Stegostoma tigrinum: one gene and its partners. The protein of the gene in region 1 binds, or shares a complex with, the protein of each later gene. Links are inferred from orthologs where the notes say so. Each region holds a gene or a part of one and is shown in the gene's direction. Other genes may lie near its edges.

Region 1 (7,808 bases):
AGACGCTGGAGTGCAGTTTCGTAGTTCCATCAAAGTACAGCCACCGGTAGAAAGGATATGAAGGAGACATTTGGTGTGCTCGCCTTTATCGGTCAGTGCATTGAGGATTGGAGTTGGGAGATCACTTAGCAGCCATATAGGACATTGATTCAGCTGCTTTTGGAATACTGCCATCGATTTTGGTCTCCTTGCGAGAGGAAGGATGTCGGCGCAACAATGAGGGCCGAAGGGCCTGTTCTGTGCTGTCTTGTTGTATGTATGTATGTATCATCCCTCATACTTCTAAACCCAAGTGAACGTAGTGTTAACCAGTTCAGTCTATCTTCATACAACAATCCTACCATCCCAGGCATCAGTCTAACCTTTGTTGCATTCTCTCCATGGCCAGAACATCATTCCTCAGATAAGGAGACCAAAACTGCACACAAAATTCCAGGTGTAGTCTTACTAAGACCCTGTGTAATTGCAGCAAGACATGCCTGCTCCAGTACCAAATCCTCCCTGCAATGAAGATCATCATATCATTTGGCTGCTTCACTGCTTACTGCACCTGCCTGCTTACTTTCAGCAACCTGTATACAATTTTATTCAGGTCATTACACTATCCCCTTTTCCAATCTATCACGCCTCCTCACTCCATATATCAAAATGCTCAAGAACTACACATTCTCTCTTCCCGAATTCTGTACCTATATTTTCCTCTTCCCTAGTGAAGACAGATGTGAAGTACATTTAATACTCTACTAATGTCCTCCAGCTCCATGCACAGATTGCCCTCTTGGTTCCTAATAGGCCTTACTCTTTCCCAGGTTATCCTCTTCCCCTTAATATACTTAATGAATACCTTGGGATTCTCCCCAGCCTTACTGGCCAATATTTTTTCAAGACCCCTTTTGTTCCCCTCATTACTTTAAGTTTCACCCACACTTTCTACACTCCACCATGGCTGCTGCTCATTTATTCCCATGCACCTGCTAAAAGCCTCTCTTTTCCTTCTTCTACAGTTCTGGATATCTCTAGATGTCCAGGGTTCTCTGGATTTGTTTCTCCTTCATTTCACCCTAAAGGGAACATATTGAGCCTATACTCACCCCAAATCCTTTTTGAATACCTCCCCTCCCCACACTGCTACCTCAAACACCTGTCCGGCTGCGATTCCCAGAACTATGTCCAACACAGCACCGTCCATTGTTGGACCTTCTATATGTTGGTATGACAATGATTCCACTTGTGGTTATTATTTTATTTGCTCATTTAGTTTGAAATATGCTGCACGCTACTTAATGATACTGCTATGATCCAGTTCCAGACTGTCAAGTTTATGTCATGATCTGGCTAAGGACCTGTAACTTATATTTTCAACATGGACAATATGTGACATCCAGGGGACTCATTCTGAGAAAAAGGCCACAAGACTCCACAATAACGACCATAAACTTTACTATACAATGTTAGAATAGTGATACAATCTACAATATGTTCGGCTTATTTCTAACACCCAAAATTAACATGTGATAAATAGGGGTAAGCTATTTTGATCGCATATCCTCAACGAACATCAAGTAGCAAATGCAATCCAGACAGATACCATGGATTTCTCAACAATTCCTTACAGATGTTAATTACACACTGGGTTTCCAAATCTCATTATACGTCATAAGGGGTTACAATTATGGATTCTTGCTGATCTGGCCCTGGAATTCCCTCTCAAGAATCATTCAGACATAGACTGCCTCAACAATTGCTCCTGTTCTGGTCAATCATCATCCTTTCCTGCATTTGCATCCCACTTTCCTCACCTTCCAACCATGAAACTGCCTTCCACTACTCATTCAAAAGCATAATTCCAGCTCCTTACCAAAGGAACTTCAACAAACTCAAACTGCCCAAGGTTTTTTTATTTTCTCCCCAAGCTCTAAGCTAATTAGACAAGAGCATGTCAGAGAGCAAAGTAACTCTGAAGAATTAACCTGCATTTATTTTGATGCAACATGTTTTACAGGTGAGGCTAATGAAGGCATCATAGCTATTACAGAAACTTAGCGGAGGGAAGGACAGGACTGGCAGCTCAATGTTCCACGTTTTAGATATTATAGGAAGGATAGAAAGAGAGGCAAGACAGGAGGGAAAATCACATTTTTGGTGGAGAGAAATCTTTCGACTGTAATTAGAGAAGATATTTTTGAGGGGTCATTTAGTGAAAACATATGGGTTGAACTAGGATTAAGAAAGAGATGATCACCTTGATGAGATTGTACCATAATCTCCTCAACAGTCACAGAGAAATTGAGAAGCAAATATGTAGCAAGATCTCAAATATATGTAAGAATAATAAGGCTGTAATCATAGGGGATTTATTTTTCCATAACATTGACATGGAATGCCATAATGTTAAAGGTTTGGATGGTGAAGCATTTGTTAAATTTGTTCAAGAAAATTTTCTTTATCAATATTTAATATTCCTACTAGAGAAGGAGAAACCCAGCAAAGATCCTCAGATGGCACCTTCTAAACCTATGTCCACTTCCATCTAAAAGTCAAGCCGATACATGGGAACACCACCACCTTCAAGTTCGCCTCCAAGCCACTCAGCATCCTGACTTGAAAATATATTGCCATTCCTTCACTGTTGCTGGGTCAAATTCCTGAAATTCCCTCTCTAATGGCATTGTGTGTCAACCCACAACAGCAGGCCTGCGGCAGTTCAAGAAGACAGCTTACCAATAGCTTCTCAAGGGCAACTAGGAACAGGCAATAAATGGTGGCCGGCCAGCGACACACCCTTCCCATGAATGAATAAAAAAGCCTTGACCTTCTCTTGGGAAATAAGGCAGGTTAAGTGACTGAATTGTTAGTAGGGGAACACTTTGGGACCAATGATCATAACACTATTAGTTTTAAAATAGTTAAGGATAAGTCTTCCATAGAAGTTAAAGTTAATAATTGGAGTAAGGGTATGTAACAAGAACTTTCAAAAGTTGATTGGGATAGGCAAAGGGAGGACTGACAAGCCGGAGGCATTCAAAAGTGTGATAACAAGAGTTCAGAGGTATTATGTACCTGTTAGAGTGAAAGGCAAGACTGGTAAGATTAGGAAACAATGGATGAATAAAGATATTGAGCTTCTGGTCAAGAATTTTAAAAAATCATATATTAGATATACAGAACTGGGATCAAATGAATCTCTTGAAGAGTATAAAGATTTTGTTGTAGTGTAGGAGGTTGTGGTGTGATATCATTGAGATTTATAAAATCATGATGGGCATAGATAAGGCGAATAACAAAGGTCTTTTCCCTCGGGTGGGCGTTGCCCAGTTACCTCCCTTGACAACAGTTATTGGCTCAGCAGTCTCATAGCAAGTGGATTCTTCTGAGCCCGCTCTGCTCCCAAAACGTCTGGGAGCCTTCACCACACAAAACTATTCGACTCCTCTGGGAATTCCCTGAGCCCTTACTGTACAAAGCCTGGGTAGTTCAGCTGCCTTTTACCGCACTGCTTAACACATTGCATGCTTCTTTTCTTATCTGTCTCCTTCTTAAAATAATTGTAACCTTGAGCTCCTACATGTTGATTGAAAACCTTGCAACAAACCTTTCTCTAAGTGTTGGTGGAATTGAATTTTGCCACCTCTTGCCAACTTTTGGAATGTCTGTTCTATAAATGTTACCAGTCATAGATTGCTGATTTAGTACAAAAAATGAATACAGATAGAAAGCACAGCATTAATTGCCTTTTTTTCTTATTCTCTCATAGATGTTTGTTGCCCATCTGTAAATACAGTAAAAACTGTGTGGCTTGCAAGTCACTTCAGTGGGCAAGTGAGAATAACCCATTTTTATGGGTCTGAAGTCCTATGCAGGCCTGATCAGCCAAGAATGGTGGATTTCTTTCCCTAAAGTACATGAATGAATCAAATAGGTTTTTACAACAATGATAATTTCATGATCACCATCATTGTGACTGTTTTTTAAAAAATCTGGAATATAAAGTTAGTTTCCGCAGTGTTAGCCAGTACTTGGATTGTTGTAAAAGTTACCATATAATGTCATTGTTGAACTATAATTTTAATAAATAAGGAAATTTGGACATTTTTCATGCGGTGGGCTACTATGTTACGCATCTACAGTGCATTGTAAAGTAAGCTGCAAAGGGAGTCACTTGCCTAATTCGTGATTTTTGTCAGAAATGTTTCATTGTGGTTAAGGCCAATTGTTAGACGTGCTAACCAAGTTGAATTTACAATATATCAAATCGGCTCTGATAAGTGGACTAATTTATTTTCTCCAGACGCCGATGAGAGTTTATTTCGGACAGTAATGGATTTTGTTTCAAATTTTACTTATCCCAATCGACTGATTTGCAAGTTATAGATCTGCCTCCGTAGCGTCTAACGTTGAGCGAGGAAGTATAGCACAGACGTCGTGCATTTGAACTATGTCGGAGTCTTCTCAAACTGATCTCTGATGAAGGGTTTAGGCCTGAAACGTCAGCTTTTGTGCTCGTAAGATGCTGCTTGGCCTGCTGTGTTCATCCAGCTCCACACTTTATTATCTCGAATAAACTGTGGATTTTCCCTGGGGGGGGGGGGTGATACATGTTGAGTAGGTGCGTTTGAAAGGGATTGTGAATTTTAAAAAGGTAAAAGAGCCCGTCACCAAGATTGGAAATCTCTAAATACGGAATTCTGGCTGTGGAGCCGTTGCGGTGGCGGTTGGTCTTTCCTTTTCAAAGCTTGTTACTATGGTGACAGTAAACAGGCGGTGTTCACGAGCGCTTTCGCCTGACAGTGAAGCTGCGCTCGAGCTGCTGCTATGGTGTTCTTAAAGTTCGCAGATCCCGTGTTGAAAGACTACATCAAATCACATTCACTCCCCCAGATTTATGAGGTAATTCATTGCCTTTTCTTTTTTAAAAAATCCGCTTTGCATTTGGTACGTGTGTTGGAAATATTGTTTGTCCAGCGTTCAGCCGGATAGAAATAATGCGGGAAAAAGTCACAGCAAACTGAACGAAATCACTGTAACCAGTGTAAAGTAAGCACCTACGTAAAAGTTTAAATTATACTGCCGCCATCTGACAACTAATTAGCACTTACACGTTTATATCACATTAGCAGGTTTAATTATAGTTATTCGACATATTCAGACATTAATAAAAGACACGCATTTGTATTGTGCCTCCAACGACTCTCGGTCGACTCGTTGAAATGCTTTTGAAATATAGTTACTATTGTAATGGCCGGAAAAGGCAGACGATTGGCGCACAGTAAGATTCCACAAACAGCGCAGTGTAACCGAACAACCAATTCTTTTTCTCAGTATTTAATTGCTGAAGGTTGAGTAATCGCCAGAACACTGGAGAAAATTTGGAGCTCTTCATCACGAAAAAAAAGATTTAATGTTGCACTAATAATTTCGTAAAATATTCAAAGGTTCATTCCAAAATATTTCGAATTGGATACTGATGAAAATGCTGTATACTATAATTTTCCCCCCATTGAACATGTTTCATTCTTAGATGTCTCAACCCAATGCGCGTGACATTTGCTCTATGCATTCAGTGGCAAGCATACGGCCCAAGAAGTCCTGTAAGTCACCAGCTCCCTGTTTCACTGCAGGCGAAAGGTTTTGAAGCACTACAAGCTTAATGCAATTTTTAACGTATAACCCTGGACCTTGGAACTTGTCCATATGGAACATTCTGTTGAGGATAACTTTTTGCATTGGAATGCTACCAGGATTTGGACAGAACGAGAAAGTGCTTTTCATCATGATCTTTGCCTCAGTATGTGCCTCCTGAGAACAACCCGTGGAACATAAAATTCTGCACTATAGATCTGCACAGGATTTACATTAACAAAATCACTATCTATCCCCAGATCTTCCTTGCAAGGGCACATTCCAAAAGGAGATTTGCAATGCTCTCTTAGTCACCACAACCATTTGAAGGATTGCGTGGAATGCAGAGACTTCAATCATGCATGAATGAACAATCTGATAGGCAGTGCCCATCTTACTAAATAACTTTGACATTTCTGCTCAGAAACCATCTGACAGGATCAACTATCTCCTTTTCTCATATGGTCATTAGTATGTTACATGCTGACCATTGCTTGATGGTCAACATGCTTTTCCGTATAATTTTTCCATGAGGGACAGGTTATATTCTATGGTTTGACAATTTGGAGCTTTATGTCACAACGTAGCCAGAACCCATGTTTTGCAATGCCAGGGACAGGTAGAATCTTAGCATGTAATGACACTTGTTGTTTGTGCGCACAGCTTCATGTAGCCACACACAAGACAGGTAGAGTGATTTTGGGTACATTTTTCCCATTTCTATCCAGAATTTTGCATATGGTATCCCTTCAGAAACAATCCACCATTGGTATCCACATAAGATAGAAGCTGGATCGGATGATTTCTGCAGCATAGATTCAGAGAACATGAAATGTAGCAACACCTGTAGTCCAAGTCCTTGCTCGCAATGGAGCAGGTATGTTGCTCTCACATATCCAGTACTGTCACACCTCGGCTGCACACTCCTCCCTGTACTTAGTATCGGATCTTTCACATTCACCAGAGAAGACAGATAAGATCTCCACTTTACATGCTGCATAAAAGACAAGACCTTCAGAGTGCTGTTAGTAATACATTGGAATTAATACTGTCTAGATTTGGTGTTTGTGTCTTTGGGTTGGAATTTGAAACTTCGCTCTTTAAATTAAGTTGATTTCTTTGGTTTAAGTTTGTAGTGAGTAGCAGTTAAAATTAAAGTAAATGATGAAAGAGCATGTTATCACGATAGTCGCCAGAATATTTCCATAAGGCAGCTACAGCCAGCACAAATGAATATCTTTTCAGAATTATGAAGTCACAATTATCTGTGTAACTGCTAGCTGTTTAGAATTACTTTGTGACAGAATTTCATTTGCTTCTGGGATTGGGTTTGTATTTTCTGAAATTTAATTACAGGCAAGTTTTTCAAGGGAACTTGATAAGATGTAATAAGATAATAAAATGTGAGGCTGGATGAACACAGCAGGCCAAGCAGCATCTCAGGAGCACAAAAGCTGACGTTTTGAGCCTAGACCCTTCATCAGAGGGTCTTCATCAGACCATCTCTGATGAAGGGTCTAGGCCCGAAACGTCAGCTTTTGTGCTCCTGAGATGCTGCTTGGCCTGCTGTGTTCATCCAGCCTCACATTTTATTACCTTGGAATTCTCCAGCATCTGCAGTTCCCATTATCTTTGATTTGTAATAAAACTTGATTTGCAATTTTTAAGAAAAGATTCTAACATCATACATTGTCTTATTGTAATGAAAATGCTTTTCTGTATGACAAAAATGTTTGAAAAACTTCAGCACAATGTTGGAGCCTGGCGATCATGACTAGGGGGAGAAGAGTCAATTCTCACATAACTCAGAAATCATTTTATTAATGCTGTTCGACAATACACATGTAGTTGCATGTTTGTTGGCACTAACCAAAAGCTAGAAGCTAGTTGTACGCCGACTGGGTTCCTTTGACATTCCCTGAGAAATCACAGAACATAAAGGCTAATACTTGGGCAGGATAGCTGTGGCATGGTGGCTCAGCAGTTAGCACTGCTGCCTCACAGTGCCAGGAACCTGAGTTCAATTCCACCCTCTGGTGACTGTGGAGTTTGCACATTCTCCCCATGTCTGTGTGGGTTTCCTCTTGGTGCTCCAGTTTTCTCCCGCAGTCCAAAGATGTGCAAGTTAGGTGGATTGGCCATGCTAAATTGCCTATGGTATACAGGGATGTGTAGATTAGGTGAGTTAC
Region 2 (7,319 bases), on another chromosome or scaffold:
TCCCACGATAAGACATTCCACTCCCGCACATCCTAGATGTCCAAGTTCTTTAAGGACCGCAACTTTCCCCCCACAGTGATCAAGAACGCCCTTGACCGCGTCTCCCGTATTTCCCGCAACACATCCCTCACACCCCGCCCCCGCCACAACCGCCCTAAGAGGATCCCCCTCGTTCTCACACACCACCCTACCAACCTCCGGATACAACGCATCATCCTCCAACACTTCCGCCATTTACAATCCGACCCCACCACCCAAGACATTTTTCCATCCCCTCCCCTGTCTGCTTTCCGGAGAGACCACTCTCTCCGTGACTCCCTTGTTCGCTCCACACTGCCCTCCAACCCCACCACACCCGGCACCTTCCCCTGCAACCGCAGGAAATGCTACACTTGTCCCCACACCTCCTCCCTCACTCCTATCCCAGGCCCCAAGATGACATTCCACATTAAGCAGAGGTTCACCTGCACATCTGCCAATGTGGTATACTGCATCCACTGTACCCGGTGCGGCTTCCTCTACATTGGGGAAACCAAGCGGAGGCTTGGGGACTGCTTTGCAGAACACCTCCGCTCAGTTCGCAACAAACAACTGCACCTCCCAGTCGCAAACCATTTCCACTCCCCCTCCCATTCTCTAGATGACATGTCCATCATGGGCCTCCTGCAGTGCCACAATGATGCCACCCGAAGGTTGCAGGAACAGCAACTCATATTCCGCCTGGGAACCCTGCAGCCATGTGGTATCAATGTGGACTTCACCAGTTTCAAAATCTCCCCTTCCCCTACTGCATCCCTAAACCAGCCTAGTTCGTCCCCTCCCCCCACTGCACCACACAACCAGCCCAGCTCTTCCCCCCCACCCACTGCATCCCAAAACCAGTCTAACCTGTCTCTGCCTCCCTAACCGGTTCTTCCTCTCACCCATCCCTTCCTCCCACCCCAAGCCGCACCCCCAGCTACCTACTAACCTCATCCCACCTCCTTGACCTGTCCGTCTTCCCTGGACTGACCTATCCCCTCCCTACCTCCCCACCTATACTCTCTCCACCTATCTTCTTTACTCTCCATCTTCGGTCCGCCTCCCCCTCTCTCCCTATTTATTCCAGTTCCCTCTCCCCATCCCCCTCTCTGATGAAGGGTCTAGGCCCGAAACATCAGCTTTTGTGCTCCTGAGATGCTGCTTGGCCTGCTGTGTTCATCCAGCCTCACATTTTATTATCTTGGAATTCTCCAGCATCTGCAGTTCCCATTATCTCTGCATCTCAGAGTTGTTCACTTGCTTTCATAATATTCACTCATTTAACACTCACATGTATCATCACAACATTCTTGCCTTGCCATGACTCTTAGCATAGTTACAGAACCAGGCAGCTTGTCTTGTTAGTCATCAAACTTCTGACAAGGGTGGACATTTTGCTACATGGGTAGACCAGAGACTGAAACATACAGATTTAGTGCAAAAATCTTAACATCTATGAAAAATATGAGGCTTAATATTAAGGGTTATGTCACCCAGGCCATCAACATGTCTTTCCTTCCTGTTACATCTCGATGCAGTGTCAGGTGCCACAACTGGGTAGAGGGAGCCTGCTCTACACTGCAGCCATTTGGCCTTGGAGGTTTGGTCAGGTGACACTGGGGGCATTTGTATCTAGAGGGCCCAAACAAGCTGACTGTGTCCTTGCTAGAGGCAAATGCATCTTCCTTGACTCAAACTTTCACAGGTTGGAGAGGCACAGGCGGGGTTGGGCTGGAAGACCCAGCATTTCTGGGCTGTACTCATTGAAGACTTCTGAGGGGTTCGTGTGTGGTTTCTCCTCCAGCAGGGTGCCTCCTGGAGGAAGGGGCACCTGGATTAAGGTCAAGGTTCCCCCGATCCCTTTGACTTTGCCTTCAGTCCTGAGGATCAATGGTTTGGTTGATACACAGCAAGTCCAATATGCTATCCAGCATACCGTGAGTGTTGCAGCTTGCTCTTCATGGCAACTATCATCCTATGTATAGAGGCAGGCAGACGATCTTAAGGTAGCAAAGACCTCCATAGCATAGCTGCAGCTCTTCAGCGTCTGGGCTACAAGGGCCATTGCCTCACATCACCTGCCTGCTGCTCCTTTACCTCCTTATGCATTTGAATGAAGTTCCTAATTGCCATTTTCACAAGATCCTCTTCTGCCTGGGACCTGGGCAGTTCTTCTTGTAAATCCATGGTGAAAAGATAATAGGATCTCGACGTGTTAAGGAGGAGCTGTTATCTTAAAAAGGACAGTAAGCAATTCATGTGAATTCAAAGGCTGGGTAAAGTTGAAGTAATTTGAACAGTTTAGAAATTATAGAAAATAAACTACAGGGGCACAGCTGGATGCTCTCAAATGTTGTAAAGCTGACCTTATTCTAGTCCCATATTTGTCTCATATCTTTCCTCATGCCCTCTCTGAGCCCATGATGTCCTGTAGAACTGCATGCTGCTTTCTCAACCCTATTCCCACTAAACTGCTGACCACCCAGCTTCTCTCCTGGCTCCTATGTAAGATAATATTATGAACAATTTTGCCTCCTCAGATGCTGTCCCCATCTCCTTTAAATCCTCTCTGCTGTCTGAGGAACTGTTGCCATCTCCTAAATTAAGATCCATCTTTCCTAGATCGCTATGATTGAATTCCTTTGTCAGATTTCTGTCACACCATATCAAAAAAAACTCTCATCAAAGTTAGAGATAGTAGGAACTGCCGATGCTGGAGAATCTGAGATAGCAAGGTGTAGAGCTGGATGAACACAGCAGGACAAAGCAGCATCAGAGGAGCAGGAAAGCTGATGTTTCGGGTCTGGACCCTTCTTCAGAAATAGAAGGTCTGAGGATGGAAGGTCTGAAGAAGAGTCCAGACCCAAAACATCAGCTTTTCTGCTCCTCTAATACTGCTTGCGCTACTGTGTTCTACACCTTGTTATCTCATCAAAGTTATAAGTGAAGGGCTGTATGACTGTGACAATGTTAAACTATGCTCTATCTTCTTTTTTAATCTCTCTGTAGACTTCCATGCAAGTTGATTTAACTGTCCTCTTCCGATGACTCTGCTGTCATGTGAACAGGTGGGACTTCACCCACGGGGTTCCAAATTTATCTAAATAGTTGCAGCCAGCAAGTCAAATCAGCTTTTAATTCCACTCTCAAACCATTACCTCTGGTGACCTGCAATAATCTATCCTCAGGCCTCTCTTAAAACTTTCCTACTCAAGATACCGTTTGCAACGCTACCTGAAAACACATTCATTTCCAGATGTATTGATGACATCCAGCTGTCCTCACCAGAAACTCTTCCAATCCCACTATGTCTTTAAATTCTTGATTACGTTAGTACTGGATGAGCTAACTAACCTCACTCCCTAGCCAAAGATCCCAATTCCCCTCTCTAGAGACTGAATGAGACTGTTTGCAACATTGGTGTTATATTAGAACCCACGATGAGCTTCCAACTATACTGTGATATCATTACTTAGACCATTTACTTTCACTCATCACTCAGGAGTTCACCTGCCGTTGAAACTCTTATCCATTCCTTTCTCATCTCTATATTTGAATAATTCTTTCCTACCTGCTCTCTTGCACAGACTACCCTCTAAACTTGAGGTCATCCAAAACTCTGCTTCCTGTATCTTAGCTCACACCAAATCCTGTTATCACATCAACCTTGCACTCACTGATCTATACTGGTTTACTGTTAAGCAAGTTCTTGACTTTAAAATTTATTCTTGTTTCAAATCCCTTCATAGATTTGTTCCTATATCTGTAATCTTTTTCAACCTCACTACCTTCTGCAACCTTGACCCACCTTTAATGCTGGATTTCAAAATCACAGACATTAACCATTCCACCATTTGTGGTTCAGAATTTGATTAACAAGAACTTAAGCTCTGGAATTACCTCCCTCTTTGTCTCTTCAGCTCTTTTTTCTTCTTTAAGGGTAAGGCACTCCTTCTTTCTACCTCTTCTTGACCGAGAAAAATTTGGTCACTTGCCCTAATATCTTTTTATGTTGTTTCAGAGTGCCCCTGTGAAAATCTTGTGATGAGTTATTAAAGATGCTGTATGTTGTTACAGATATACAGATATATCTGATAGATATCGTACAGATATGTCGTTATACAATTGTTTAATTTGAAGGATAAAAATACATTTTGTTTTAAAATCATGACAGAAATACTACACTAGGTCTGGGTTTCAATACACATGTATGTTTATATCCCTCCTTCCCTGCATTAAGATAGAAGATTAAAAACAAGATCAACAACTCGGATTTATACGCAACTTGCCTTCATCATAGTGAAACCTTCCATGGCACTCACAAACAATTGCAAGAGAGACAGCAATTAAGAAGCAGACATAAAGATAAGAGATTGTAGATTTGATGGCGGGATCAATAACCAGGGAGCATAGATTTAAGATAGGGGCAGGAAGTTTAGAGGATGTGAGGAAAACCTTATTGAACCATGAGTGTTGAAAATCTGGAATTCATTACCTGTAAAGGTGGTAGAGAGAAATCTTTGCATCACTGAAGAATTTAAATGTGCAATTGCAGTGCCCAGGCACACGAGGCTAAGGGCCAAGAGCTGGGAAAATAGAATTAGAACAGGTAGGGGCTTGTTTTTGAGTGGATGGACCGAGGGTCAAGAGGGCCTTATCTGTGCAGTAGACCTCGATGAGTTCAAGGGATTTCAAACAGATTTTTAAAGGAAAGAGATTTTACAGACAACGAATCTGTTAAACAGCGCTTTGATATAAAATCGTCAAAGCTGCAAAAAGAAGAAGGGAGACCGGGATTTCTCCAACATTGTCTCCCCATCCTTTCCCTTCGATTGACAACCGCCTTGACAACTGCGCTCCTTAGCAACCATCCGAAACAATATGGCCGACGACAAAGAAGCGGCAGGTAAGCAGCAGCTTGGATAAAGGTCGGCGATGGCGATGGTGATGGTGCAACCTCCATAAGACACACACATAGAAAACCCATCAACAACAAGGGACTCTTCAGGCCCGGAGCTTAATTCCAGCTTAATCTTTTCCGCCCAGATTCAAGATGGAGCTCAGCTGGAGACCTCTGGTCTTTGTTCTGAGAGGACGATGATGTGGAAAGAATTTTAACCCATCATTTGTAGACAGGGAGAGCTGTAGCCCCCTAGTGATTTGTTTTGCTCTCTGTCAAAAAGATCACGTCTTCATTAAAACTAGCGGAGCCTCAGCTTACTTTTTTTAAAAAAAAGCTAGAGGCGTTAAAATCCACGGTGTTTTGAAATCAATATCAGCGAGTCACCTGCCACTTGAGCGACACATTGAAAAAAATCATCTTTTCCGAATTATAAACAGAAACGTTATATTTGTTCAAAAATGCATGAATGGCGACAAATGAGTTTATTTAAAATCCAGCTTGACTAGCCACAGTTTAGTGCAATGAACATACAGAATGCTGGAGAGACTCACAGATCTGGCAGCACCCGTGGAGAGAAAGCAGAGTTAAAGTAGTGATCCTTCTTCGGAACAATTTAGTGAATATTATTTGCCATAATTCATGTCAGATTTGTAGAATTTTTAACTAGGAGGTTATTCTTATAGGAAATTGATTGTTTTACCAGCAGCTGTACTTTTAAAAACACCATTTTACTGATTTTTTAAAATCATATTTGTAAATGAAATTTAACTTTTAATTTAAATACGCCCAATTTTCACGTTGAGTACAGCCAAGAAGGACACTTTTGTGAAATGTTTTATCTAGCACCAACCAGTGACATCCATAAGAATACCAATGTAATGGAGAAACTATATTTGTACTGTATGAGAGGGGACTGTTGATTGATTAGCAAATGGTCTCCCAATGAATGAATTGCCATGGAGAATGTGCCAGTTCAATGGTGACTGACAGTTAACTACCAAGATTTGTTTACATTTTAAACCAGGCAAATTAGCTCTGATTCATCAACGCATATTCCTGAGAAATGAACCAGAGAATGGCCATCATCTATTTTCTTCAGTTGAAATGCGCACAGTGTATGTCCATATTCCAGCATCAAAGACCAGCACCCTCTAGCTTCCAGTTTGCATACATATGCCACAAACCAACTAATAACCCTACAATAACAAGGTGTAGAGCTGGATGAACACTGCAGGCCAATCAGCGTCAGAGGAGCCCCCCTGATGCTGCTTGGCCTGCTGTGTTCATCCAGCTCTACACCTTGTTATCTCAGATTCTCCAGCATCTGCAATTCCTACTATCTCTAATGATCCTACAATGTTTGACAGTATAATTCTTTGCACATTCAGGATCATGTAGCAAATATTGTCCATTTGCAGAGTCACATGTAATGTTTGGCACCATGTTTTGAATTTTGCAAGTGTGGGCTGGTTGATTGGTTGATTACAGTCTTATTTGTTGCAACAGCCAAAGTGGTTTGCTGTTTGATATAATTTTCCAGCTTTGAGGACACATGGCCCACATAGCTAGCACCACACTGACACTGAAATTCATTTACCACATTATTCATTTGTGTAACAGGGAAAACATCTTTTTAGCTTAATGGCAGAATCCTGTTAGTGGTGAACGGCATTTGTGATACCACTTTCAAAAGCTTGCTTCACCTGTTGATAAAACCTTTCAGATATTCGGCTTGGAGGCTCATGCAGTCAGAAAAAAAATTAGAGAGAATGCTGGCGACATCCATTCTGTGGTTCATTTCTCAGGCAAATGCCTTGACCAATCAGAGTAATATTGCCTGATTTAAAATTTAAACATGTCTTGGCATTTAATTGTCAGTCACAATCTAACTGGTAAGTTCTCCATGGCAATGTCTTTGCTAACAAGAATCCACTTGCCAACCAGTCAGCACTCTCATCATTCAGTATAAATGTTTTCCCTTATTTTCCAATATTCTTGTGAATTGTCCTGAGGAGTGCAAAATGAAAAACCTGAAAATAATGTGTCCTTTTTAGGCAATGTTCAGGTTCTGTACTACCAAAAACTATTTCTACACTGCTATTAAGAAAAGAGTACATGAAATATTAAAATTCGCTTTTTATATTTTGCCATTTTATTCCCTCTTTTGCTGGTAGTATGCAATTCATTTTCAATTTCTTTCTTGAACAACAATCAGAGACCAGAACCTTAAGGACAGAGAGCTATGCTATTCCCAAAGCAATAAAAAGCAATTTATCATGTCACTTCTGTGGGGATTTATAATCTTGCCAAAAAGAAAATCACTATTATCCCATTCAATGGTGTTGATGAAGAGTTTGGAATTATTTCAAAGACCAGAACATGTTGTCTTTTAATG
Region 3 (7,882 bases), on another chromosome or scaffold:
GTTGTTACTTAATCTCTTGTCCAAACAATTAATTATTCAGATTAACTCTTTCTGTTAGATGTATTCAGTAATATTGTACTGCCTTGAGTTTCCTTCTGATACGGAATGTTCAAGGTTGCCCATTTTCTTATTCACAATGAATTTACTGAGGAACAGGTGGGATATGGAAAAAGATGGGCCATCTCATTACACTTGGATGACAGTTAAAAGTGCATCAAGCAGTTCGGGGTTGGTCTAGATTTTTTAAAAATCTAGTGAATTTTCCTTGTCACTAACCAATTTGAGTACTATTGGATGAGATTGTGCTTTCACTTTGAGAAAGAAGTAATAATCTTAAATGTTAAAACAATGAATTTTCTTTCCTGTAAGCCTAAAATACCACTATAGTTTGTAGATGCCTTTAGGTGAAGCTTATTTTTGGAGAACATTGACAGAACTGCATAATTTGATTTAAAACTTGTGAATGTCTTAAATTTTGATCACTACCTGTTAGCTGAGATTTAACAATAAAAGTGAAATGAACTTGTTAGCTGGTTATTGAATTGATTTAAATGCAACTTTTTTCATCATCTAAAACAGCCTCGAAGACACTCTGATAGAATTGATTTCAAATTGTTTATTGCCAATCTTGGGTATTTCAAGACGTCTGTGATTTATCATACACACACTTCACTTTTTAAATTAATTTTAGTGTGGCATATGAACATCATCAGTAACAAATTTTCATGCATGTTTTGATCTCCTCTTATGTTTTAAATCTCATTTTAATTAAGACTTACTAACATTTATTTTGAATTGCTAAAAATTGGGAGGGATTTGGTCCAAACTTCTCAACCACCTCATCATTTGCATCCCTCTGTGACAGTGCAGGGCATGGGTATGCCAAAGCCTTTGTTTTCTTTGCTTGTCTGAGTTCTGATCTCTGATTAGCTGAATTTTTGCATACATAATATTTGAGAATACCCTTATTTAGGTCACCTTCCTAATTTTAAATAAAAGTTAAAATATCTCATCAGTATTACACAACTTGTGATAGTAGATGCCAACTCTAAAGTACATGAGAGTTGCCAGAAGTAACTTAATGATTTTCATAACTAAAACAAATTTGTCTGAATGTTTTGGGTGAGGAAAATATTTTGCTTTGTACAACAGGATCGCCACAAATACTTCCTTTTTCGTTGATCATAATTTGCAAATCAGCAAGCAAGTGTCATTGAATGTGATGAAAGGCACAAGGGAGGAAACTGAATAACTGCTTCACTTTCTAATTAGAGGTTCCTTCATTCGGAGGAAGACCTACCTTATTTTCTTTTTGTGGGATGACTGTTTTTTGAAACCAGAAGTTTATTCTTGGGTGCAACAAGTTTTTTTGACATGTAATATTTAATTGTTTGTCTTAATTGGTATTGTCAGTGCACTCTGTCATCCTTTGCACAATTGAATTTAATTTGCTTTTAATTGGCTTTTTGTAGATACATTTGTGAAAAAAAGTTATGAACCTCTGTTCTAAAGGGGCAGAATTTGAAAGTGCCTACATTCCAGTAGTGTTCTGGTTATGATCTTGTGGCAAACTGGCAAAACATTACCTTGTGACTTAATTATATTGTTTGTTTGTAATAGGACCATTTAAAACTGCAGCTGAATAATTAAATGATCATAGTATTCAAATTAAGGTTTTGTTTGATTACACTAATTGATTTATTGTACAGAAATATTTCACTACAACTGACCACAATTTAATCTTGTTTCATGATGACTAAATATCTAATATGCCTTGACTTGATATTAATGTTAATGAGGAAACATTTTTGAAGAGCAAGTTGGGAAATTCCTTGCTGCCTTTACTTGAAACACCCAGTCTACCTCATTTTTACCTTTTTTATTAGAATAACAATGGGATGACTGATTAGTGGAATCAGTAACCTAATGGTACTAATTCTATAAAGATCATTTAAAAAGCCCTTGCCTGCCTTTCCACACCCCCCCCCCCCCCAATCATTATGGTTTTGTTATTTTTGTAAAGAAATATTGTAAGCTGTGCACATGCACTTCATTCTAAACTCTGTATGCAGGTCTGCGTACGCACTCTGAGCAAATTTGGTGCTGAAAACCAAGTGTATGCTGATTCACAGAACTGCATGAAGCGGCAGCTTAGTACTTGTAAAATTTAATTAGCTTACTGTCAAGAAGTACAAGGCTTTATTGTGACACATTGCATGATTTTGTAATCCCCAAATGAGCTGATTCATAATCAAAATGCTAATGTACTTGTTCAAAACTCAGTAAAATAGGATTCACTTGCATTGCAACCTCTGTAAGGTACACTTTCTTGATAATTGTTCTCTTTTGGTCTATGTTTTAAGTTATTAAAAGAAAACACTTTTTTAGGTGCTGTCTTCTTCAGATGAAGTAATGATCTACATGATTAAGTACAAAGTTCACAATCCTGTTGTATGCATATTATTGCTCCCAGAAAGCTGTTTAAAAATGTACCTGAAGTAATTCATCTGGTATGCTGTGTGCAAATTTGACAGCTTTCTTGTGTCTAAGTTTTTTTTTATATTCAGTTGGTCAGATTACTGACATATCACTCACCAGTCTCATTTTTAACTGAATTTATTGAGAATGCTACATTGTCATATCTACTGGTCATTATTTCACCTGAAGTAGTGCACTAAGTACATCTCTAATGTAGAATCCCTCTTCTGCTGTGACCATCGGAATAAAAATGTATGACTGCTGTTGGATGAGGTCCAGTGGTGGTTTTTGGTTTGTAAAATGCTACCAAGTTATTTATTGTAAGGATAAACATTGAATATTTAATAAAACTGAAGGAAAAAGTGGTCTGATTTATATTGTCTCATACAATCTGATAACTGAAGTACTCAAAATTACATGATTTATTGAAAAAAAAACCCTTTTCACACCCTTTTTAAAAATTTCTTGATTGTAAAGCATGTTAAGATTTGTCATCGTGGGGAGGGGGAGGGGTATCCTGAACTTGATTTAAATAAAACTACATGCATAACTTCTATATACCCCCAACTGTAACAGATTTTACTGAACTATTCAGTAGTAATTTTCTATTAGTTTGAATTTTGTACTGTGGATGTTGTGCTCTGTTCCTGGTGCATCGCATCTTTTTTTTGCAACTGGCCATACTAATTAACAGGAGCTCTTGATCTGTAGTTCTAATTCCCATTAATGCCACTTTTGTTTTCATGGTGGAAGCCTGGGCAGGGGCTGTTAAACATCTCCTACATGGTGGTGGTCATAGATTTGGAAGGTGTTGTCTTAGAATCTTTTGAACATCTACAGTACATCTTTTTGAGACAACATATTGCTACTGAGTATCAATGGTTGAGGGACTACACTAGTCAAGTCAGGAGTGTTCCATCTCCCCTGACTTCTGCCTTTTTTGTAGATGGTGGACAGAATGTGATGAGTCAGAAGGTGATTTATCACAGTAATCCTAGCATCTGACCTGTTCTTGTAACCCCTGTTTTACGTAGCAACTGGCTAACAGTAGCCTGAGGATTACTATTGACTAATGGGAGATTTTGGACATAGTAATGCCATTGAATGTCAAGGGCTGGTGGTTATTGGAGATGGTCCAGTGGTAGTATGGCTATTGCCCAAATCTTGTTGCCTTTTGGGTATGGCCTAAATCTGCTGGAGGTGTCATGAATGGGGCTGAACACTAGTTAATAAGCATCCCTAAGTTTTTGTTTTTTTTTGGTGACTCTCCCTCCCATCCTCGTGAAGCAGCTAATGATGGCGAGGCTGAGGACGCTTTTCTCTTCTCTACTGGAGTTCGTGGGAGATGTCCTAGAGCTGAGAAGACTATCACTAACCAAAGCCTTCCTATCACGTGATAATGGGAACTGCAGATGCTGGAGACTGCTGTGTTGATCCAGCCTCATTTTATTACCTTCCTATCACGTGCTCAGTTACGACTCTAACAGTGGTATAACTTCCTCCTGATTACCTTTTTACTCTAGTTTTGGTAGGGTTCCTTTTATTAACTATCTTCCTTTGGTGTAGTAATGATTTGAAATTTTCAAAATACTAATCAAAGAAAATAGCGGAAAAGTACAGACTATCCTCAGCAGTTTGTGTTCATATGCTAAAAATGTGGTACCCGTAGCACTGCTTAATACGTCAGTTTTCCTCTTATTCTACCTGACTTCTTCTATTTTCCCCCTAGCACTATGCTGTGCTATGTCTGCCTCCAGCAGCTCCAGTTCTTGCTCTCCAAAGCCTAACCTTTTTTTTGTATAGGTGTCGTTACAAGCATCCATTTCTCCTCCCCTACCCTTTCAGAATTCATTTTATGCTGCTTTGAAGAAAGAAAATTGAGACATCATCTCCTTTACCTTCCCCTCCTTATTTCTCCCTGCCTACAACGCTTCCAACCTCTCCCCTGCACTGGACTCAAATCATTAATACAATTAATTTCCCCTATTAGACTGTACTCTTGAACTGAGCAACTAACAATTGCTATTCTGTTTAAAGTCACCCATTTTTGTCTTAGTATTGCTAATGGTCCTTTCATTCCCTGAGCGGCTCTAGGCCTGAAACGTCAGCCTTCCTGCTACACCTTTTCTTATCAGAATCTGCAGTTCCCACTATCTCTCAATAAACTAGAGCCATACAAAGTTTTTAAACAATTTTAGAATGTTGTGGGGAAGTGGAGGTGTACGTTACCTTAAAGCCTTTCTGTCAGCTCTCTAAAGGACTCGCTCATTAACCCCCCTTTCTCTTACTTCAAGCCTAAATCATTGTGGCCGGATTGTGTTGCTCTATCTCTCCGGCCAGGCAACTTGGTGACGTCACGGTCTCCTGGCGACCGCCGTCTCCTAGCGACGGGCATCAACCGTCTCCCGCAGGCCCAGCGGGGAACCGGCCGCTCCCGCTCCTTACCGTCTCCCGCAGGCCCAGCGGGTACCGGCCGCTCCCGCTCTGGTCCTTACCGTTTTCCGCAGCCCCGGCGGGAAACCAGCTGCTTACCATGTCGGACACACTTATCGTTCAAGCCAATGAATCGGCCGTCAACGTCAACTCCGATGTCGCCGAGGAGAGAATCGCCGCCCGCCGCATTCGGATTGCCCAGCGGCTGGAGGAGAAGAGACGGTGAGGGGGGGGCGGCGATGTGGGGTGGATGTACTTGGGTGTGTGTGGGGGGTGGAGGTGTTTGGGTGAATGGGTGGGCGTGTGTGTGGGGAGGGGAATGTGGGGTGGATGTGTTCGGGTGTGTGTGGGGCAGGGAGGTGGATGGGTGGGTGTGTGTGTGTGTGGGCGGGAGTGTGGGGGTAGGAGGAATACCTCTTCCAAGTGTTTAAGGATAATGGATATCCAAAGAACTGGGTCAGGAGATACCTACAGGAACAGCATCAGAAAGATTCTACATGCCGGACACACTCATCACACTGCCCTACGTCAGGAACACATCAGCAAAACTCACCACAAGACTTCCACGACTGCTGGGCATCAGAGTGGTACACAAACCCACATCAACCCTACGACAAGGGCTCACCCAAACTAAAGACCCACTCCCCGCCATGGACAGGACCAATGTCATCTACAAGATCCCCTGCAGAGACTGTGAGAAACACTACGTTGGACAAACAGGGAGAAACTAACAACAAGAGGACATGAACACCAACTGGCTACAAAAAGACACAAACAATACTCACTCATCTCAATCCACGTGGACAAGGAGAACCACCAATTCGACTGGGAAAACACCAGGATCCTGGGACAGGCTAGACAGAGACAAGCATGAGAATTCTTGGAAGCATGGCACTCCACAAAGCAGGCTATTAATAAACACATTGAACTCGGCCCCAAATACATTCCACTACGGAGAAAACCTGGAAGTGAGGCAATCCCTTGCAACGGACCCCTGAGTTTAAACGCCAGGCGGGAAAACACACTGACACTTCATCAGAGGCTGCATTGACGATGTTACCAAGCATGGTAACGAAACATGTGCAGGAGAACAAACCAGCTCGCCGAGCCAACCAACCTTAAAACGTTGGGTCTATGTGAGCCTGACTTCACACATTCAAGCTTCTTTTTTGCAAAAAAAAACAAAGCTATTTACTCACATTTCGATGCAGCAGCCAGGTTTACAACACCCTTCCCAAGAGAAACAGGACCGAGCAAATCCCTCTTAAGGCACATATCATCGCATTGCCATATCTTGTGTGTCCTTCTGATGCTGTGAACCAAATTGGTTAGGTCTACGATTATTACCTGTTGGTCTATAACAAAATATGGAAGATGAACTTAATCAATGAATGTATCTCTGCATTCAATCACTAATTCTGTTGGACCTTCCACTTCCTCTTATGAGAGGATGCTGTAAATCAAGTTACAGTTCTGGTCACCGCATTATAACAAGGATGTGGAAGCTTTGGAAAGGGTGTTTAGGAGATTTACTAGGATGGTGCCTGGTATGGAGGGAAGGTCTTACGAGGAAAGGCTAAGGGACTTGAGGCTGTTTTTGTTAGAGAGAAGAAGGTTGAGAGGTGACTTAATTGAAACATATAAAATAATCAGAGGGTTAGATAGGTTGGATAGGGAGAGCCTTTTTCCTAGGATGGTGATGGCGAGCACGAGGGGGCATAGCTTTAAATTGAGGGGTGAAAGATATAGGACAGATGTCAGAGGTAGTTTCTTTACTCAGAGAGTAGTAAGGGAATGGAACGCTTTGCCTGCAACAGTAGTAGATTCACCAACTTTAGGTACATTTAAATCGTCATTGGACAAGCATATGGATATGCATGGAATAGTGTAGGTTAGATGGGCTTCAGATTGGTATGACAGGTCAGCACAACATCGAAGGCCGAAGGGCCTGTACTGTGCTGTAATGTTGTATGTTCTAATTGTTCACTTCACACCTACGTACAGAGGACCAGCTTTAACATAATGAACTGTAAAGCTTATTACATTCGGTCATAAATATTAATTCAGTATTTATAGAAAGCATTTCAGTATAAAGAGCACAATTTTCACATTCCTTTATCCAGCTAATTGAGTCACAGAGTTCTTACAGCACAGAAATTGGCCTTCCAGTCTGACGTGTCCACAGCAGTTAACAAACCTCCATCTATTCTAATTTCATTTTCTCACATTTGGTTCATCGAAACAGTTCTTAAATGTCTCTCCTGTTTCCATCTCTACCATACTTTAAAATGGTGAGTTCCAGCTACCTCCAACCCTCTTGATGCCCTCCCCAACCCTCTTGATGCCTATTATTATTTGCTATTACCCACAGTTTTTACAGACATTGTTATTATTTTGTTTAATGTCTGTTCTGACTGCTGATAGCGTAGCTGCTGTGCTTTTAGCCTGAGTTCATGCGTCCCATTTCCTTTTGCAATATGACTGAAAATGTAACCCTTAAATAACTGAAACACTTTCAGCTCCATTGCCCTCAGCATAAATTCTGTTTTGGCACATTTAAGATTATAATCGTAAGACATAAGAAATAGGAGAAGGAGTAGGCTATTTGACCCCTCGAGCCCACTCTGCTATTCAGTAGAATCATGGCTAATTGGACACTTCTTGCCCAATTTCCTGCCTTTCCCCATAACCTTTGATTCCTGTACCAATCTATTGCTGTTCAGTTCAGCAGAAAATAAGTTTATTCTAAAAACAAGCATTTATTACCATGATAGGATTCAAGTATTTGTCTGGTTGCTGCCCTGATAATTTATATTATTAAGTAATTAATTATTATTCAAATAAGTATGTAACATAGTCACGCAGAGACAGCATGTCTTCATGAATGGGAAATGATGCCTGACAAATTTATGATAATTCTTTGTGGAGATAACAAGCAGGAAGGATGCAGGGGAGCCAGTGGATGTAAATT
Region 4 (6,909 bases), on another chromosome or scaffold:
ATGACCAAGCATTGCTGATCTTTCACAAGTAACTGACTCTTGACTGCAAGTAGCATCAAACAGAAGGGATCTTTGAATGCTAAGGTGAAGCACAATGTGCAGGAATAGCCCCAGGGCCTTGATGGCATATTTCATTCCATTCTGCACCCACCTTGTGATTACAAGCATGGAATCCATGATGTCTGATATGTCTGTAGAGGGAAAAGCTCTTCTAAGTTTCAGGTTTTCAAGGGAGTGTATTTCAAGGGAAGGCTGTAAGCTGTACACTTCACTTGTTCATTCTCCCTCATTGGCCTACCAAGAAAAGTTTCATAAAGTACTGCCTTTTACACATTCAACACTGTCCTAAAGATGCTGAAACACTGCAGGGTAACCTAGTGGTTGTTGTGCATTCAGAAATGTTGAATGGTAACCGATGATGGAAGGCTGAAAGGTGAGGCCTCAGGATTCCTCTGAAGCTGCTGCCTATCATTGAGAGACTTCGCAGCACAACACTGGATATCGGACATTGACAGAAGCCTTAAGAGTTACTTAACTTGTAACACCATGATGTTCCTATAAAGTCTGATTGACTGATGCTTTCTGCTCTAAGACACAGTAGGATGTGTAATGTGTAGATACTTTATGCTCTTCCAGCAGATGACACAGTTCAGTGAGGCTGGCCAAAAGGTAGCAAGTGTTCCAAGATGGACAATGAATCATTTATTCAGCAACAATTATGGTCCAGGACTGTCACTGTAACAAAGTCCAACTGTCCTTTACATTAAGCAACCAACAAAACGTTAAACAGTTAAAGGAAGTCCAAGCTCAGCTTATTTATCCTGTGTAAATCTGAGGGTTTTGTAAAGGTGTTGAAAGAAGGTAGCCCTTATGTCCCTTCAAGCATCCACGTATGGCCCAAGGACTTAAGAAGGATGCAGGAACCTGTGAGTTCTCCAATATGTAATACTCATGGAAGTTTTTATGATTATTGTGTAGATCTCCAAAATCCACCATGGTTGGCCATCTATAATTTGAACATTGATGGAATGGAAGCCGTTTCTGTTAATTAAATTCTGCGGACTGGTGGTAGGATGCTCTCAAAGCAACATGGGTGCAGTCTGGGCAAAATCAGTAATGGTGGAAAATCCCACTAACTGGGCTGCCTAACACTTCTTTCCTGGTGAAAGAATATAAACAGTTGTGATCTTGAGAAAATGGCATCAGTGATCTCTAGATCCATGTGTGGGTTGAGGTTTGGGAAATGTCCCACAGGTCCCCAGTTGGTCCTCGAAATCAGCTGCTGCCATTAAAACTCAGAGGATCTGAAACCATGACAGCTACTGGAATGGGGTTTTCATTTATTCCTTTTGAACGCAAATCCTGTTTTAGCAGTTTTCGGATATACTCCCTGCGATCATGCTTCCGAGAGCTCCTGTCCCTGCCTATGCCTTGAGATCCAATCCCACACTATCTCAAAGTGCCCCTTTCACTGTAACCTTTCACTGCTACCCATCCCAACGAAGCCATGAGCGGACTTGTGCTTCCACTTTCCCCAGGACTCCAGGTATAAGGCCAGGGATATCTCCCTGATAACACCACTGATCATTTTGGAACAAACCTTCAGGACTGTCCAAGGTCCTTGCCTTCAACTACCCTGGTAGAACAGCCCCAACAGAGTACAGTCAACCACCTGGACTGATGCCTCTACAACACCCTGATTAAACATACCTGTAACGCCAGACTGGTTCCACTTGGCTGCAAGATTGACCGTGGACTGCAAAGAATCAGATTCCCTGACCCTGACTGACCCTCTGTATTGTAATTGGACAATCCCATTGACCTTTGTGGCATTACCCCTGACTGTAGACCCCTTTGACTTTCGGATATGACCATTTACTTGAAGCATTTGTACTGTTGCCCCACAAGCTGCTAGCATGTGTTGCAGGTCTGACATTGATGTAGCATGGTGCTGTACAGCAACATATCCATCCCCATGACTGTTCAGTGCTTTCATTCGTGACAAGCTGCCTACTACTTGTTCTATACCAAAAAGCAATACGAGAGGCTGGCAGTCTCCAAGTGAGCACTGAAGAACAAATGTGCTAAAACCAACACAAGTCACAGAGGCTGGTAGCCTCCAAGTATATAAGTACAAAGTAAGTAAGCACTAAGAAATGATATTAAGATCTGTAAGCTGAATTTTGTTTAGATTCCTTACATATGTGTGTGCCCTTGCACGGAAGGTGACCTGCAGAATCATGCAAGTTGTAACAGTACCTGTGCTCCAGAATCAAATCCTGGAGGGCTGTAGCATTGTAAGTTGGACTGAAATGAAGTATGGTGATAAGACGGTTGGTTTGCTGATGCTCACTTGTTTGGAAGAAGAGTGGATAGTGTCTGTGGAATGTGCAGGCATGTTGTGGTGAAAACAGAGATGGATGACAGTTGGATAAGCAATCAGCTGCCATCTTTTCCGGCCTTCATGTTGGGAATTCATGGCTGAATTCCCAACATGAAGGTATGTCAGAGAAGAAGTGGAAGTGACATAAAATTAGGTGAGTTTGGCTAATGAGATGTAAATGCATGGAGAAAAGGTAAGTCTCCACTCAGTAACGAGATTCTGAAGTCACCATTTAAAGCATAAGGGGAAAATTGGGAACTTTTTAAATGTCAAATTTACAATTTTTTTCATTCATGCGTACCTTCACAATTTTTTCTCATTGCCCATACTACTTTAGGGAGGTGCTGTACAATGTGTCTAGCGTAAAAGGCATGGAGAAAATTTCTCCCAAGGGACTAAAAGATACCTGCCTGGATTACCTTTCCCTACTTTTCTTCTGGCTCTCAGTGACTCTTCGTTTGACACCACCAAAATATTCTAATCAGCATGTGCTCTTTGTAGCTACAGACTATTAATCTACCCATCTCAGATACATAATGCTGTTGCTCCAACAGGCTGTGGACTATAGAATCCTAACTGTGGGAAACAGGCCCTTTGGTCCAACAAGTCTACACCAAATTTCAAGGCATCCCACCCAAAGCCATCCCCCTATAACCCACCTAATCTACACATCCCTGCATACGACAGACAATTTAGCACAGCCAATCCACCTAACTTGCACATCTTTGGACTATGGGAGGAAACCGGAACACCCAGAGGAAACCCACGCAGACATGGGGAGAATGTGCAAACTCCACACAGTCACCGGAGGGTGAAATCGAACCCTGGCCCCTGGTACTGCTTACCATTGTGTCACCCTTTACTATCACCTTCCTTCACTTTATTTATATGTCAGGACTTCACTTGACAAAAGAACAGCACTCCAAAAACTTGTCATTTCAAATATAACCTGGCGTCGTGTGACTCTTGACTTTGCCCATCCCAGTCCAACACTGGCACCTCCACATCATATTTTATTTATCAATATATGCTGGCCAATGATCACAAGAAACTATGTTTCATTTAAAATATCACCATAAAATAAAAAAGAACTGGAAGTATTACAAATCTGAGACACAATCTACCTTTAAACTTTAGAGCTCTATATCAGTAACTATTACAGGAACCCATATAATCCAATCAGTTATTAGTAGCATGATTATAAATTACTAATTCTGCAGTTATTCTTTTTGCAAATATCCCTACATGACATTTAATGCGATAAAAGTTCTGGATATTTGTTCTAGCCTTCAGGAGATTATTTTCCCGTAATAATGAAGGCTCCCAAACCTCTTCCCAAATTGAGATCCACAGTTTGCACTAGCCTTTTCCACTGGATTCCATCTCCCGAATTCGACTTCCAGACCCACCCACCCCGGGACCAGCCCCGCCTCCCCCAGGCCGAGCTCCGCCCCTCCCTCGGGACACGCCCCCCGCTAGCGTCATGCCCCGCCCATCTGGCCCATCGGCTCCCCCCCTCCCCCAAGACAACCGGTCCAGCCCCGCCGAGCGCACATCGAGTCTCGCGGCATTTGGTTGCCGTTTCCATGGTGCTGGTGGTAAATAGACGGTTCAGGAATAACTGCTCAGAGCAGCGGCATCGTCAAGATGGTGAGTGTCGTTATGGAGCAGAAACGTTCAAACAAGAACCACATAGGCTTATGCGGACAGATTCGCACCTTTCCCTCCCCCCAAACCCGCCTCATATCCCTCCCAAATGCCCCTCGTTTACTCCTCCTTTCCCTCCCAAATCCCCCTCGTCTACTCCTCCTGTCCCTCCCAAATCCCCCTCGTCTACTCCTCCTGTCCCTCTCAAATGCCCCTCGTCTACTCCTCCTGTCCCTCTCAAATGCCCCTCGTCTACTCCTCCTTTCCCTCCCAAATCCCCCTCGTCTACTCCTCCTTTCCCTCCCAAATCCCCCTCGTCTACTCCTCCTGTCCCTCCCAAATCCCCCTCGTCTACTCCTCCTGTCCCTCCCAAATCCCCCTCGTCTACTCCTCCTGTCCCTCCCAAATCCCCCTCGTCTACTCCTCCTTTCCCTCCCAAATCCCCCTCGTCTACTCCTTCTTTCCCTCCCAAATCGCCTTACCCTCCTGCCACCTCCCCACACTTTATCCACCTGCCTCCTACCTGCCTTTCTTTCCATTTCCCCTCTTATCACCTCCATCACCCTATGCCACTGGAGCCAGCACTCACCCAGACATAAAACGTCCATGTCCAACATGGCCCGTCAGACCCAAAACCCAGCGATCCAAGCCCACCACACCATTGCCTGTCCTGACCCATCTGGACTGCCCTACACACTCACCCATTTATGTGATATTCTAATCACATACTTAGCCTTTCACAATAGCCTTCTAAATGTCAGCTGGACATTTAAACTTCAGAATGGGTTTTGATGATCTTCTCTTGCTGCGCTTGAAGGATTCCTGGACAGGTTCATAGCAAGATACCCCTGCTCAGGAAGAACTATTTCCATTTAATCAAAAATGTACAGATTTTTGATTACACTGCAAAATTATCAGTGGCAGTATAAGACAAACCAATATCAGCGATAATAGGAACTGCAGATGCTGGAGAATCCGAGATAACAAAGTGTAGAGCTGGATGAACACAGCAGGCCAAGCAGCAAGTCAAACCAATCTTTTGTTAAAAGTATGAAAAGAAGCAAAAACTGCTCAGCCCCGTAACAGTATGGTCATGGCAAAGTGTATTCTTGGTTTTAGTGTTAACATTACCAACCTTACTAAGAGGCTTCATTACATTTCATTGTGTATTGCAAAAGGAATGTCATATTAACTAAGGTTTTCCATTAAACAGCCACCCAAAAAGAAGAAAGGGAAAGGAGGCAAGAAAGCAAAAACGCCAACGGTGATCGATGGCCTTTCTACAGAGGCAATGTCCAAGGAGCAGGCAAGTACATCTGTTTTGTGAAAGTGAAGACTATGTACAAATGATGTCTGTGGCAGATTGATCAATATGTTCCAAAAGTTGGTTGTTTGAGCTAGTCCAAGGATGTGACTGACCTTTGAATTTTATGTAATCAAGCAAAGAACCAGAGGAAAAATAGAATTGGAGGCGTGTGAGAAAACAGCAATAATTGAATAGCTCTTTTAGGACGAGCTAAGTAACTTGCTGTGTGATAGGATTCTGTATTTATAAAGTTTTCCATGTTTCAGGGGTTTCATTTGAAAAATTAATTATTCTTTATTGACCATACACAGTTGGAGGAACACATTGTTCGGCTGCGTGAAGAACTTGACAGAGAACGAGAAGAACGGAATTACTTTCAACTTGAACGAGACAAAATTCACACATTTTGGGAGATCACTAAGAGGCAACTGGAGGAGAGGAAGTCGGAGTTAAGAAACAAAGATCGAGAAATGGAGGATGCAGAGGAACGACACCAGGTCGAAATTAAAGTAAGGAGCCTAATTCAGTAATATAATTCCTGGTTCAATCTCCCAAACTTATTTCAGTACTCAGTTATATCATCATTGGTCTATATCTTAGGTCTATTTACCTGCCTTTGTTCCACTTCCAGTATGTTTTTCTGCATAGTAACTGTTTTTTCCATTTCCTGCTATTCCCCTTAGCCCTGCAATATTTTGAAAGGCTGTAAACTCTTGGGTTGTGCATTTCTTCTGCCAATCACCTTAAATTGGCATAATCTGATTTTCTTCCAATGGAACTGTTTCTCTGTATCTACTCTAAGTAAGCGCTTACGATTTTAAATGCCTCTACCAAATCCCTCTGTCTTTAAAATGATCAGTTCCAGCTTCTCCAAGCTGTCTAACTGAAGTTTGTCTTCCCTGAAATTATTCATGTCAATCCTTTCTACACCCACTCCAAAGCCTTCACATCCTTCCTAAAGTGTAATAACCAGACTTTGAAATAATGCTCCATTTGAAGCAGACTGAGTATTTTCAAAAAAATGTTCATTGTAATCTCCTTGTTCAATCTCAGTCTTAAATCTTGAAAATGCCAAGTTTACTACAATCTCTTCTTGAATAAGGAGTGGCATTTGTAATTTTCCATTTCAAAAGCACATTTTCTGAATCTAAGTATTATAGTAAAATGATGGCTAATACATGTGCAAGTTCCTCACTGCTACTTCTTATATGCTGGAGTGGACATTTACTTTATGTTTAGTCTAAGTTTCTCCATTACCATTTTGTTTACTTACATTCAATTGATGAAGTTTCTCCCCTTTATTTAGTTTATAGAAACCCTTACAATGTTAGTATTTTGTCCTCTTCCTTCCTTGTATCATTTTCACAAAGTACCGTACCCATTAAAAAAGACCTTTTCGTTATCGTCTGTTATAATCTTGCCAACATGTTTTCAGATGTTCAGATCCCCATTCTTTTTCTCTTGGTATAGTTTTATAGTTTCATATCAATAGACAATAGACAATAGGTGCTGGAGTAGGCCATTCGGCCCTTCAAGCCAGTACCACCATTCATTATGATCATGGCTGATCATC

Evidence for each region.
Region 2: fbxl13 (region 1) and efcab2 share a complex: the UniProt entries of both Homo sapiens proteins name them as parts of the nexin-dynein regulatory complex. The link is inferred for Stegostoma tigrinum from reciprocal best matches to the Homo sapiens genes FBXL13 and DRC8.
Region 3: fbxl13 (region 1) and drc1 share a complex: the UniProt entries of both Homo sapiens proteins name them as parts of the nexin-dynein regulatory complex. The link is inferred for Stegostoma tigrinum from reciprocal best matches to the Homo sapiens genes FBXL13 and DRC1.
Region 4: fbxl13 (region 1) and gas8 share a complex: the UniProt entries of both Homo sapiens proteins name them as parts of the nexin-dynein regulatory complex. The link is inferred for Stegostoma tigrinum from reciprocal best matches to the Homo sapiens genes FBXL13 and DRC4.

Annotation. Positions count from the first base shown.
Region 1 is NC_081378.1:23,973,327-23,981,134, forward strand, and holds the start of fbxl13 (F-box and leucine-rich repeat protein 13), read left to right. Parts: upstream 1-4,791; 5' UTR 4,792-4,812; coding exon 4,813-4,887; intron 4,888-7,808. UniProt on the Homo sapiens protein: Substrate-recognition component of the SCF (SKP1-CUL1-F-box protein)-type E3 ubiquitin ligase complex.
Region 2 is NC_081362.1:86,343,368-86,350,686, reverse strand, and holds the start of efcab2 (dynein regulatory complex protein 8), read left to right. Parts: upstream 1-4,306; 5' UTR 4,307-4,902; coding exon 4,903-4,927; intron 4,928-7,319. UniProt on the Homo sapiens protein: Component of the nexin-dynein regulatory complex (N-DRC), a key regulator of ciliary/flagellar motility which maintains the alignment and integrity of the distal axoneme and regulates microtubule sliding in motile axonemes.
Region 3 is NC_081357.1:129,135,611-129,143,492, reverse strand, and holds the start of drc1 (dynein regulatory complex protein 1), read left to right. Parts: upstream 1-4,877; 5' UTR 4,878-5,011; coding exon 5,012-5,133; intron 5,134-7,882. UniProt on the Homo sapiens protein: Component of the nexin-dynein regulatory complex (N-DRC) a key regulator of ciliary/flagellar motility which maintains the alignment and integrity of the distal axoneme and regulates microtubule sliding in motile axonemes.
Region 4 is NC_081369.1:39,927,610-39,934,518, forward strand, and holds the start of gas8 (dynein regulatory complex subunit 4), read left to right. Parts: upstream 1-3,909; 5' UTR 3,910-4,030; coding exon 4,031-4,033; intron 4,034-5,243; coding exon 5,244-5,336; intron 5,337-5,647; coding exon 5,648-5,845; intron 5,846-6,909. UniProt on the Homo sapiens protein: Component of the nexin-dynein regulatory complex (N-DRC), a key regulator of ciliary/flagellar motility which maintains the alignment and integrity of the distal axoneme and regulates microtubule sliding in motile axonemes.